Saccharomyces cerevisiae S288C: one gene and its partners. Changing the gene in region 1 together with any one later gene gives a genetic interaction. Each region holds a gene or a part of one and is shown on either strand. Other genes may lie near its edges.

Evidence for each region.
Region 2: mutations in PTC3 (region 1) and VAC7 together harm fitness more than expected from each alone (negative genetic interaction), as found in Saccharomyces cerevisiae (one large-scale study listed by BioGRID).
Region 3: mutations in PTC3 (region 1) and PRM2 together harm fitness more than expected from each alone (negative genetic interaction), as found in Saccharomyces cerevisiae (one large-scale study listed by BioGRID).

The regions. Positions count from the first base shown.
Region 1 is NC_001134.8:111,749-115,509, forward strand, and holds PTC3 (type 2C protein phosphatase PTC3), read left to right. Parts: upstream 1-2,013; coding exon 2,014-3,420; downstream 3,421-3,761. Other genes in the region: protein phosphatase regulator SHP1, read left to right, coding at 1-960; PTH2 (aminoacyl-tRNA hydrolase), read right to left, coding at 1,053-1,679.
Region 2 is NC_001146.8:524,002-527,762, forward strand, and holds the start of VAC7 (Vac7p), read left to right. Parts: upstream 1-2,084; coding exon 2,085-3,761. UniProt on the Saccharomyces cerevisiae protein: The PI(3,5)P2 regulatory complex regulates both the synthesis and turnover of phosphatidylinositol 3,5-bisphosphate (PtdIns(3,5)P2). Positively regulates FAB1 kinase activity.
Region 3 is NC_001141.2:283,001-286,761, reverse strand, and holds PRM2 (pheromone-regulated protein PRM2), read left to right. Parts: upstream 1-1,762; coding exon 1,763-3,733; downstream 3,734-3,761. Other genes in the region: CST6 (Cst6p), read right to left, coding at 1-1,096.

The DNA of each region.
Region 1 (3,761 bases):
GGTTCTACCTCTCCTGAACCAACCAAGGGTAGTAGCCGCTCTGGAAGTGGTAACAACTCCAGGTTTATGAGCTTTTCGGATATGGTAAGAGGTCAAGCTGATGATGACGATGAAGATCAACCGAGAAATACTTTTGCTGGTGGTGAAACATCCGGCTTAGAGGTTACAGATCCTTCAGATCCTAATTCATTACTGAAGGATTTGCTGGAAAAAGCGAGAAGGGGTGGTCAAATGGGCGCTGAAAACGGATTCCGTGATGACGAAGACCATGAAATGGGTGCCAATAGGTTTACTGGAAGAGGTTTTAGATTAGGGTCAACCATCGACGCAGCAGATGAAGTCGTAGAAGACAACACTTCACAATCACAACGTAGACCAGAAAAAGTCACAAGAGAAATTACATTTTGGAAGGAAGGTTTTCAAGTGGCCGATGGTCCGCTTTATCGCTATGATGATCCTGCGAACAGTTTCTATTTGAGCGAGTTAAATCAAGGGAGGGCTCCATTAAAGCTCTTAGATGTGCAATTTGGACAAGAAGTTGAAGTTAATGTATATAAAAAATTAGATGAGTCTTATAAAGCTCCGACGAGAAAACTGGGCGGTTTTTCAGGCCAGGGCCAAAGACTAGGATCTCCTATCCCGGGTGAATCGTCACCTGCGGAGGTTCCAAAGAATGAGACACCCGCTGCTCAGGAACAACCCATGCCGGACAATGAGCCAAAACAAGGCGACACCTCCATCCAAATTAGATACGCAAATGGCAAAAGAGAAGTTTTGCACTGCAATTCCACAGATACAGTAAAGTTTTTGTATGAGCATGTGACATCAAATGCGAACACTGACCCATCGAGGAATTTCACCTTGAATTATGCCTTTCCTATCAAACCAATAAGCAACGATGAGACAACATTGAAGGACGCTGATCTGCTGAACTCCGTTGTCGTGCAAAGATGGGCATGAGCATAAATATACAAAAACAGAAACGGGAAAAGACTTCAACTTAATATATAAATGCACGTATATCTATACCCGTAGTATATATCATTTGTACCTCAATACAATTTCAAATCACCTGTTATTTGATCCAATACTGCTTTTGGAGCAGGTCCTAAACCCAATACGGTGGCACTTCCCGCAGCAATCTGTGTTCTACCAGCATCATGAATAACTGCTGCATTCACCCCAAGTGATATAGCCTTCGCATACAACTCGTCCATTGTAAACTTATCTGGACATTTCAACGTTATTTTAGCCTGTCCAGCATTTAGCCATCTTTGTGTCATAATTGGGTTGTATGAAGCACGCGCGGGGTTTGTAGCAATATGTCTAAAACATGACAATGCTGCGTGACAGCATTGTGCCGCTATTTTGCCCTTTGTCATGCCAAGATCTTGACGAATCACCAATGCCATCCTAACTTCTCCAGGTATATCATTCAATGAAGTGGACTCAATATCTTCGTCCTCATCGCTCTCATCTTCGCTTTCACTTTCCTCCTCATCAGTGTCATTGTGTAGCTTTCCTTCCTTCATTTCTTTAGAACGCAGTAAAGTAGCTGAGGATTTCTTAGTTGATGATGCGTTCGACGTACCCAACTGGTAACCCACGGCAAAGGAGATTGCGGTGAAAGTAGCCCATAAAGCTATGGTGTAATTCGAAGAAACTGTCATCTTTTCCATTAAAAAGACGTTATCATGTTACTCCGCTGTCAACAAGTAATATAGCAAGAAACAATTAGCTCTTATGCTTAAGAGCTTCTAGAAGAGTAGTAATAACCTTTAAACATTATTTTCGTCAGGCGTGATATCAGCGAGTTGAAGAAAAAACAACATGGGTTGTCCCTCAAGAGAATAAACTCAAAGGAGTAAAAGGTGTTTAGAGCTTGTTGGCTCGATTGTTGCCACCGGAAGGCCCCTTTCTGTTTTTAGACTATATTCATTTTACTTTTTGAAGTTTCTATTATAGGCAGACGAAGAAGGCCAAGAAGACAAATCGAAGAAAGAGAGAGATAACATGGGTCAAATATTGTCCAATCCAATTATCGACAAAGAGCATCATTCTGGTACGGACTGTTTGACAGCGTTTGGACTATGTGCCATGCAAGGCTGGCGTATGTCCATGGAAGATGCCCATATTGTTGAGCCGAACCTTTTGGCTGAGTCTGACGAGGAACATCTCGCATTTTATGGTATATTTGACGGTCATGGTGGTTCTTCTGTAGCGGAGTTTTGTGGCTCTAAAATGATATCTATACTGAAAAAACAGGAGAGCTTCAAGAGCGGTATGTTAGAGCAGTGCTTAATAGATACCTTTTTAGCTACAGATGTTGAGTTGTTGAAAGATGAAAAATTAAAAGATGACCATAGTGGTTGTACAGCAACTGTGATATTGGTATCTCAATTGAAAAAGCTACTAATTTGCGCCAATTCCGGTGATAGTAGAACAGTTCTATCTACTGGTGGTAATAGTAAAGCAATGTCATTTGATCATAAGCCCACATTGTTAAGTGAAAAATCTCGTATTGTAGCTGCTGATGGTTTTGTTGAGATGGACCGTGTTAATGGAAATTTAGCGTTATCAAGAGCCATAGGTGATTTTGAATTCAAATCTAACACAAAATTGGGACCTCATGAGCAAGTCGTTACATGTGTTCCTGATATCATTTGTCACAATTTGAATTATGATGAGGATGAATTTGTTATTTTAGCATGTGATGGTATTTGGGATTGTTTAACTTCTCAAGAGTGTGTTGACTTGGTTCACTACGGTATAAGTCAAGGTAATATGACGTTGAGCGACATTTCATCTAGAATCGTAGATGTTTGTTGTTCACCCACAACTGAAGGCTCAGGAATTGGCTGTGATAATATGAGTATTTCCATTGTTGCTTTACTAAAGGAAAATGAATCTGAGTCACAATGGTTTGAGCGTATGAGATCAAAAAATTACAATATCCAAACGTCTTTTGTCCAAAGAAGGAAAAGTATTTTTGATTTCCATGATTTTTCGGATGATGATAACGAAGTGTTCGCAATAACCACCAAAAAATTACAAGACCGCTTGAATCGTAGTAAAGATAATGACGACATGGAAATTGATGATCTTGATACCGAATTAGGCAGCAGTGCTACTCCCTCAAAGTTATCAGGTGAGGATAGAACTGGCCCTATTGACTTGTTTTCGTTGGAGGCTCTATTAGAAGCCGGGATTCAAATAAGGCAGAGGCCCAGCTCCGACAGTGACGGCAACACTTCTTATTTCCATGGTGCTTCTTTATCAGATATGTTGGCATCTTTAAGCAATGCGGCTGCAGGAGAAACAGAACCTAATGATGCTGATGATAACGATGATAACGACGGCGAAGAAAACGGCAAGAATGAAAATGCGAAGAAGGGTTCCAAGATTGAAGAAATTGAATAATAAATATTGTCGAACCGTACTTTGCAACGAAAGAGTAGTCAAACTTTGTTATCTTTATTTGTTATTCCTCTTCTGCCGATGGATTGTTTTTTACTGGATCATCTTTGCGGCCCATATTGAGGAGATGGTGAAATTCATAAAAATCATTACGAGAGAATGATAAATTGTAACAGAATTTATAAATCCTATTCATATAGATACATCTGTTTTTCCTTACTCTGTTTTTATTTTGTTGGTAACCTTTGAATCCTTTTTGATGAAAAAAATAGAAAAAAAAAAAAAAAAAAAATGAAAGCAATATCGACTGTATGTATATGCGCACCATAATTTTCCTATTAATA
Region 2 (3,761 bases), on another chromosome or scaffold:
CTAGAAATAGATGAAGATGAATACAAAGAGAAGGTACATGAAATGCAAAAGTTGATTGGTCTAGCTTCATATGTTGGATATAAATTTAGATTTGACTTACTATACTACATCAACACACTTGCTCAACATATACTATTCCCCTCTAGGCAAGTTTTAGACATGACATATGAGTTAATACAATTCATGTGGGACACTAGAGATAAACAACTGATATGGCACAAAAACAAACCTACCAAGCCAGATAATAAACTAGTCGCAATAAGCGATGCTTCATATGGTAACCAACCATATTACAAGTCACAAATTGGTAACATTTTCCTACTCAACGGAAAAGTGATTGGAGGAAAGTCGACAAAGGCTTCGTTAACATGCACTTCAACTACAGAAGCAGAAATACACGCAGTCAGTGAAGCTATTCCGCTATTGAATAACCTCAGTCACCTTGTGCAAGAACTTAACAAGAAACCAATTATTAAAGGCTTACTTACTGATAGTAGATCAACGATCAGTATAATTAAGTCTACAAATGAAGAGAAATTTAGAAACAGATTTTTTGGCACAAAGGCAATGAGACTTAGAGATGAAGTATCAGGTAATAATTTATACGTATACTACATCGAGACCAAGAAGAACATTGCTGATGTGATGACAAAACCTCTTCCGATAAAAACATTTAAACTATTAACTAACAAATGGATTCATTAGATCTATTACATTATGGGTGGTATGTTGGAATAAAAATCAACTATCATCTACTAACTAGTATTTACGTTACTAGTATATTATCATATACGGTGTTAGAAGATGACGCAAATGATGAGAAATAGTCATCTAAATTAGTGGAAGCTGAAACGCAAGGATTGATAATGTAATAGGATCAATGAATATTAACATATAAAACGATGATAATAATATTTATAGAATTGTGTAGAATTACAGATTTCCTTTTATGGATTCCTAAATCCTCGAGGAGAACTTCTAGTATATTCTGTATACCTAATATTATAGCCTTTATCAACAATGGAATCCCAACAATTATCTCAACATTCACCCATTTCTCAAAACTATCACGGAATACTAATCGAAGACTAGTGACGCACGTTACGCTATAGCAACAACGTCACAAGGATAACGTTAGTAGTTTTTTGGAAGGACAATTGCAAACTATATGTAAACGAACGAAGACACACAGTCCAAAGCTGTAACAACAACCACATATATAAATGGTAGTCTTCTAGGAAACTTCACTGTAAGATTAGATACGTAGAGGTGAAAGACAAGTTGAAGTTTGGATCGGAAGTTCCATTAATATTTGGGTAAGTAAGTTCGCCGCGCGGCAGAAACGGTGAGTACTTACTCACTTTTGTTCTAACTACAACAAAAAACTGTAAAAGTGGTGTAAGGTTTACGTTCCGTTTTGGTTGCAAATCATCAGCCCTGGTTTAAGCTTTATGTCCAACATTGGTTAGCGAAGGCACCGTACTGGTCTCGATGTCGGTGAGCAGGGGCGGCGAAATTCATTCCAATCTTGGATAATATATATGTATATATCTATACACGCGGCGAGATCTTGTCCTCTAATTTCCCTTCGCTAAATCATTAAGAGGTCATTCATGAAGTTAATTCAGCACCAAAGTTGGACTGTTAGACACGAGATACACATTGCAGTCCAAATGTGCAGATTTTTCAGATAATTGTCGTCGCACAAGACTGCCCCTCCCGTCCTCAGACAGACACAAAATTAGATTTTACGTTTACATAAAGATGTACATAACTTGAAAAAACGTTAATCCCTCTTAAATTTAGACCTTGTAAGTCTTCCTGGCCACTCTTTGTGATATATTGTAGTGCAATATATTGATTCGTTCTTCTTATTTCTTTGTTCTTAGGCATTTCCGCTTTAGAAAATTCGTTGGGTGGTTTCTGCGACGGGTATCCCCTTCGATTTTGCATAATGATCTTCAATTCTACAACTAAAATCAAGTAGATACAGGAAAATATTCCATAAATTATAGTGTAAATCGCCCTGTATACACCTTATCGTTTCATCTCAGGCAAGTTAAAGCATTTGGGAAACGTGCTAGATGACAGAAGAAGATAGAAAGCTCACTGTAGAGACAGAAACAGTTGAGGCACCCGTGGCAAATAATCTTTTATTGTCGAATAACAGTAATGTAGTAGCACCTAATCCTTCTATTCCCTCTGCCTCCACATCTACCTCTCCGCTACACAGGGAAATAGTTGATGATTCTGTCGCTACTGCTAACACCACCAGCAACGTTGTACAGCATAATTTGCCCACCATAGATAACAATTTAATGGATTCCGATGCCACGTCACATAATCAAGATCATTGGCATTCAGACATAAACAGGGCAGGAACATCAATGTCAACGAGTGATATCCCAACAGATTTACATTTAGAACATATCGGCTCTGTTTCATCAACTAATAATAATAGTAACAATGCCCTAATCAACCACAACCCTCTGTCATCTCATCTTTCCAATCCGTCATCTTCATTACGAAACAAGAAGAGCTCTTTGTTGGTAGCTTCTAACCCTGCGTTTGCTTCAGATGTTGAACTCTCGAAGAAGAAACCTGCCGTCATCTCCAATAATATGCCTACAAGTAACATTGCCCTTTATCAAACAGCGAGATCGGCGAATATTCATGGTCCATCATCAACTTCCGCATCTAAAGCGTTCAGAAAGGCTTCGGCCTTCTCCAATAACACGGCACCCAGCACTAGTAATAACATCGGCTCGAATACACCTCCAGCTCCTCTTTTACCTCTACCTTCACTATCACAACAAAATAAGCCAAAAATAATAGAGAGGCCCACAATGCACGTCACTAATTCAAGAGAAATACTTTTAGGTGAAAACCTGTTAGATGATACAAAGGCGAAGAATGCTCCCGCGAATTCAACCACACACGATAATGGTCCAGTAGCAAATGATGGGCTGCGTATACCGAATCACTCGAACGCAGATGATAATGAAAATAACAACAAAATGAAGAAGAATAAAAACATTAATAGTGGGAAAAATGAACGTAATGATGACACCAGCAAAATATGCACTACATCTACTAAAACAGCGCCTTCAACCGCACCTTTGGGCAGTACAGACAATACTCAGGCTCTCACTGCTAGTGTCTCCAGCAGTAATGCTGACAATCACAATAATAACAAGAAGAAAACCAGCAGCAACAACAACGGCAATAACAGTAATAGTGCATCCAATAAAACCAATGCCGATATCAAGAATTCTAACGCCGACTTGAGCGCTTCTACCTCTAACAATAATGCAATAAATGACGACTCACATGAGAGTAATTCAGAAAAACCAACAAAGGCGGATTTTTTCGCTGCAAGGCTGGCTACAGCTGTAGGTGAAAATGAAATTAGTGATTCTGAGGAAACATTTGTTTATGAATCGGCAGCTAATTCGACTAAAAACCTAATATTTCCTGACTCCTCCAGCCAGCAGCAGCAGCAGCAACAGCAACCTCCAAAACAACAGCAACAGCAACAAAATCATGGAATAACCTCAAAGATAAGCGCCCCATTGCTAAACAATAACAAAAAATTATTAAGCCGACTGAAAAATTCAAGACATATTAGCACTGGTGCCATATTGAATAACACAATCGCGACTATAAGCACAAATCCGAACTTGAATTCTAATGTGATGCAGAACAATAACAATCTGATGTCGGGACACAATCACCTGGACGAGTTGAGCAGTATAAAACAG
Region 3 (3,761 bases), on another chromosome or scaffold:
CCGCTGGAGTATTCTTTGATGGCGCGTTTACAAAATTTCGCTGCTGACTTTTCGAGTAAATAACGCTCTGATCACCCAATGCGGAGTCCTTCGTGGGATTAATAACTTTTTTTGCATTGTATTGTGGAATACTACTAACCGGCACTGCTTGGTTGAAGACCGGCTTGTTTGATACATTCCTAGTTTGGCTCAGACCATTATAATTGTGAAAATTGGGCATCGGGGGCGGCTGTGTGTTGTGCAGGTTTTCCAAAGTTTCAATATCTTCGCCTAGCTGGCTTATTTGACCGTTAGAGATTGATATTCTTCTTCTTCTAATTGGCTCATCGCATCCAGGCAAAGAACTTTGGAAAATTGGTGGATTCGTCATAGGTAAATGTGCTACATCAACACCAAAAGGTTGAAAAAATGGCGACAATGTTTCCAGGATGGATGGATCGTTCAAGGCATGTGGGTTGTTATTCATATTCATGTTCATGAAATACATCTGCTTGTTCACAGAAGCCGTATTGGCGATGTTGGACGCATTAGTCGGGGCTGTAGTAGAATCATTCGGAGCGGACTTACGGGTAGACGACAGTTGGCTCAGATTTGTATGAGTGGCCAGATTCTGATGCATATCCTGTACGACACCAGAATTCATCAGAATATCACCGTAGAGTTGGGATTCCTCTTCAGTTTTCATAGAGGGTGACTGTTGTCGCTGATCCTGCTGTTGCTGTTGTCGAAGGTATGCAGCCTGCTGATAGTTTGAATTGGCGCTGGGTTTAACAACCCGATCATGCGAATTGACGTTTCCAGCTGCAATAGAATATTGTGGGGTTAAAGAATTTCTATTGGAAGTAGTATAATCATGTATTTGGTCAACCACACCAGCCATATTTGTGCTATAGTTTATGTCAGTAGGATCTAAGGATCTACTTAAAGCAGAATTGTTCATAGTAGAAGTGGTGGTGGCGGCGGCAGAAGTATCACTAACAGAGTGCGGTATCTTATTATTCAAGATCTTTGATGTGTCATCAATACCACGTTTATTGTTGTCTTTTTGCTTGTTGGAATTAGAGTCTACGGAATGATACTCCTGACCAGTAAACATTATCCTACCAAAAAGGTGTGGGCTTATACTTTTTTCTTTACTACTTTAGATCTTTTTAGATCCTTTTGAATCTTCCAATTGAAAGACTGCTTTAAAAGCGAGTTTTTGATTTAGAAACACCAACAGATACGTATACACGATAACCTCTATAGCGGTTCTATTTCTGTTAACAAGAAGGTACTTGAAAGTGATAACTCAAAAAACAAGAGTACAATATGAAAATCTTTTGCCTTCATTGTCATTGTCATTGAATCCCCGATTATCATTGTCAGCAATTTCGGAGAAGGGGGCAACTATGTTCCGTGTAAGGTGATATTACTCAAATGTGTCACAATTTCAACTTCTGGGAATAATATTTATAATAGTTGAGATTATTCTTGATTATAGAGGCGACAGCTTATCTTAATTTTCGCCAATAGGTTTGGAAGAACATTGGTATTTTCATTCGGTGCAGCATTTTAATTCAGAATTATAACCGTCCTTGTACGGTTATAACAGCACATTATTGAAAAATGTTTTAAAAATGTTTCAGCCCAGTAATAAAACATTTACATATGCTATCTTGGCCCTTTATATAACATGTAAAGCAAAAAACTAGAACACTAACATGGCTTAAGTAGCTGAAAATCTACACCACTTTTCGATAAAACTAAGAGTACGGCAAAGATGAACAATGTACACATAATTAAACCTTTATCACTTCCACAGAGGTTTTTTAGTTGTATTTTCCATCCTCTATTACTGATATTCTTTACTTCTGTTATTTTAACTATTTGGGGTTCCTTTTCAGTCATTGACATTACAATGGCAAAAATGTCTCACGCACAGGTCAAACGAAATGATACCGTCTCAACCTTTGCATCTATTTCAACTGCTACAGCGACAGCCACAACAACGGCCACAACAACGGCCACAATGACAGCAGTCACAACACAGCATGCCATATATTCTGCCAACAGTTACTCTTTAAATAAAACATTCATTGATAATACAATTGATCAGTATTTCGAAAGCAAACTACGGAGTATTGAATCTACGGTAGGTACGGATATGCAAGAAAAATTCAAGTCATACACAGACGACATACTGGATAATAAACAAAAACTTATCAACGACCAAATAAGTTTGGAAACTGAATTGATTAAGGAAGTTCTTGAGGTAAACAATACAATTTTTAACGAACTACTCACTAAATCACAGCTGATAAATGACACATGGAATGAAATATCAGAAGACGCAATGACCATTGATAAGGATTCCATTTCACAAATGGCATCAAACCTACTGTTAAATTACTCCATGTTTGACAGTATTTTTGGGAACTACTCAAGGAAATTGAAATCATTGCAGAACTTCAATGGCACTATCACTGACTTTTCTACTCAATTAGATACCTCTAGTACCTTAAGTTTGAATTTTCTACGAAATTCCACTGACTGGCTTCAGTTGAAAAGGAACTTTACTGCAAACTTACAGAATGAAATTTCCATTTTATCTGGGGGGAGTACCGAGGTTACATCGTCTACTTCAATAATTAAACGGTCTCTGAAAACAAATAGCGAGGAAAACAGTGTACTAAGTGCAGTAAAAAATCACGTTTTCCGTAAATGTAAGAGAATGACAATAATTTTCACAGTCATGTACTTTGCATTTGTGATTTTGCTCATGGCAATCGAAAGAATTCTGTTTCAGCTGGAAAATCAGCAAGTAAACCTGGTTATGTCCCAAATTAATGGCCTGACAGGACAAACCAATTTTACTAAATACAACAAAGTTTTGAAAAGCTTAATTACTACTCTGAATCTCAGTACACTTTATCCAATTCCCTACCAATTAACAAAGCTTATCAATCAAAAAATATTTAAAAGAGAACCAGAAAAAATCGATGACAAAAAAGTCAAAAAATCAAAACTATTTTACTGTAACTGGTGGATAATCTCAAATGGGGCTCACCTGTGGCTGTTTGGTTTTTTGATGTTATTAATTCATTGGCAGATAGTGACGCGATTAACAAACTTTGAAGTACCCAGTTTGCCTACATTCCACAAAAGAGCGGGACCTTCGCTATACAAAAGGGAAGTTTGGACAGATGGAAATATAACAACTACGATAGAGGGTTTCATTAATGACAGCGTATCATTATTGTGTGAAAATTTCCAAATGGAAGTGAATGAAAAGTTCATTACAGCAAATTTAAGCCTTCAAACTGACCCCAATTTGAAAGTGCAATCAACGGACATCCTAAATCTTTGGGTTAACGACACAAACACTCAGTTTGAAAAATATCTTAATGAGAGTTCTCAAAATTGGCAGGGGATAGACCTGCAGGTTGAGCCTCTGTTAGGCAGCGATTCAATTAATGAGTTCCTGGGTCAGTATTTCCTACCGACATACGAAGTTACGAATACAAATTCTTCATTTGCACTGGACATTCAAAAATATGGTATAATTAATCGAGGAATTAATATAACCAACGCATCGGTAGCGGCATTGTCTTCACTGTCAAAACGCCAAATAAAGGATAAGGAGCAAAAACAAACGTACTTTTTACACACTGTTTATAAGTGGGGACTTTTAGCAGTTTGCCTGACTATATTGTTCCACCACATGCTTATATTTATAATATTAAAGTTGTAAGTATCGTATTATCGTCACCTTCCACGAG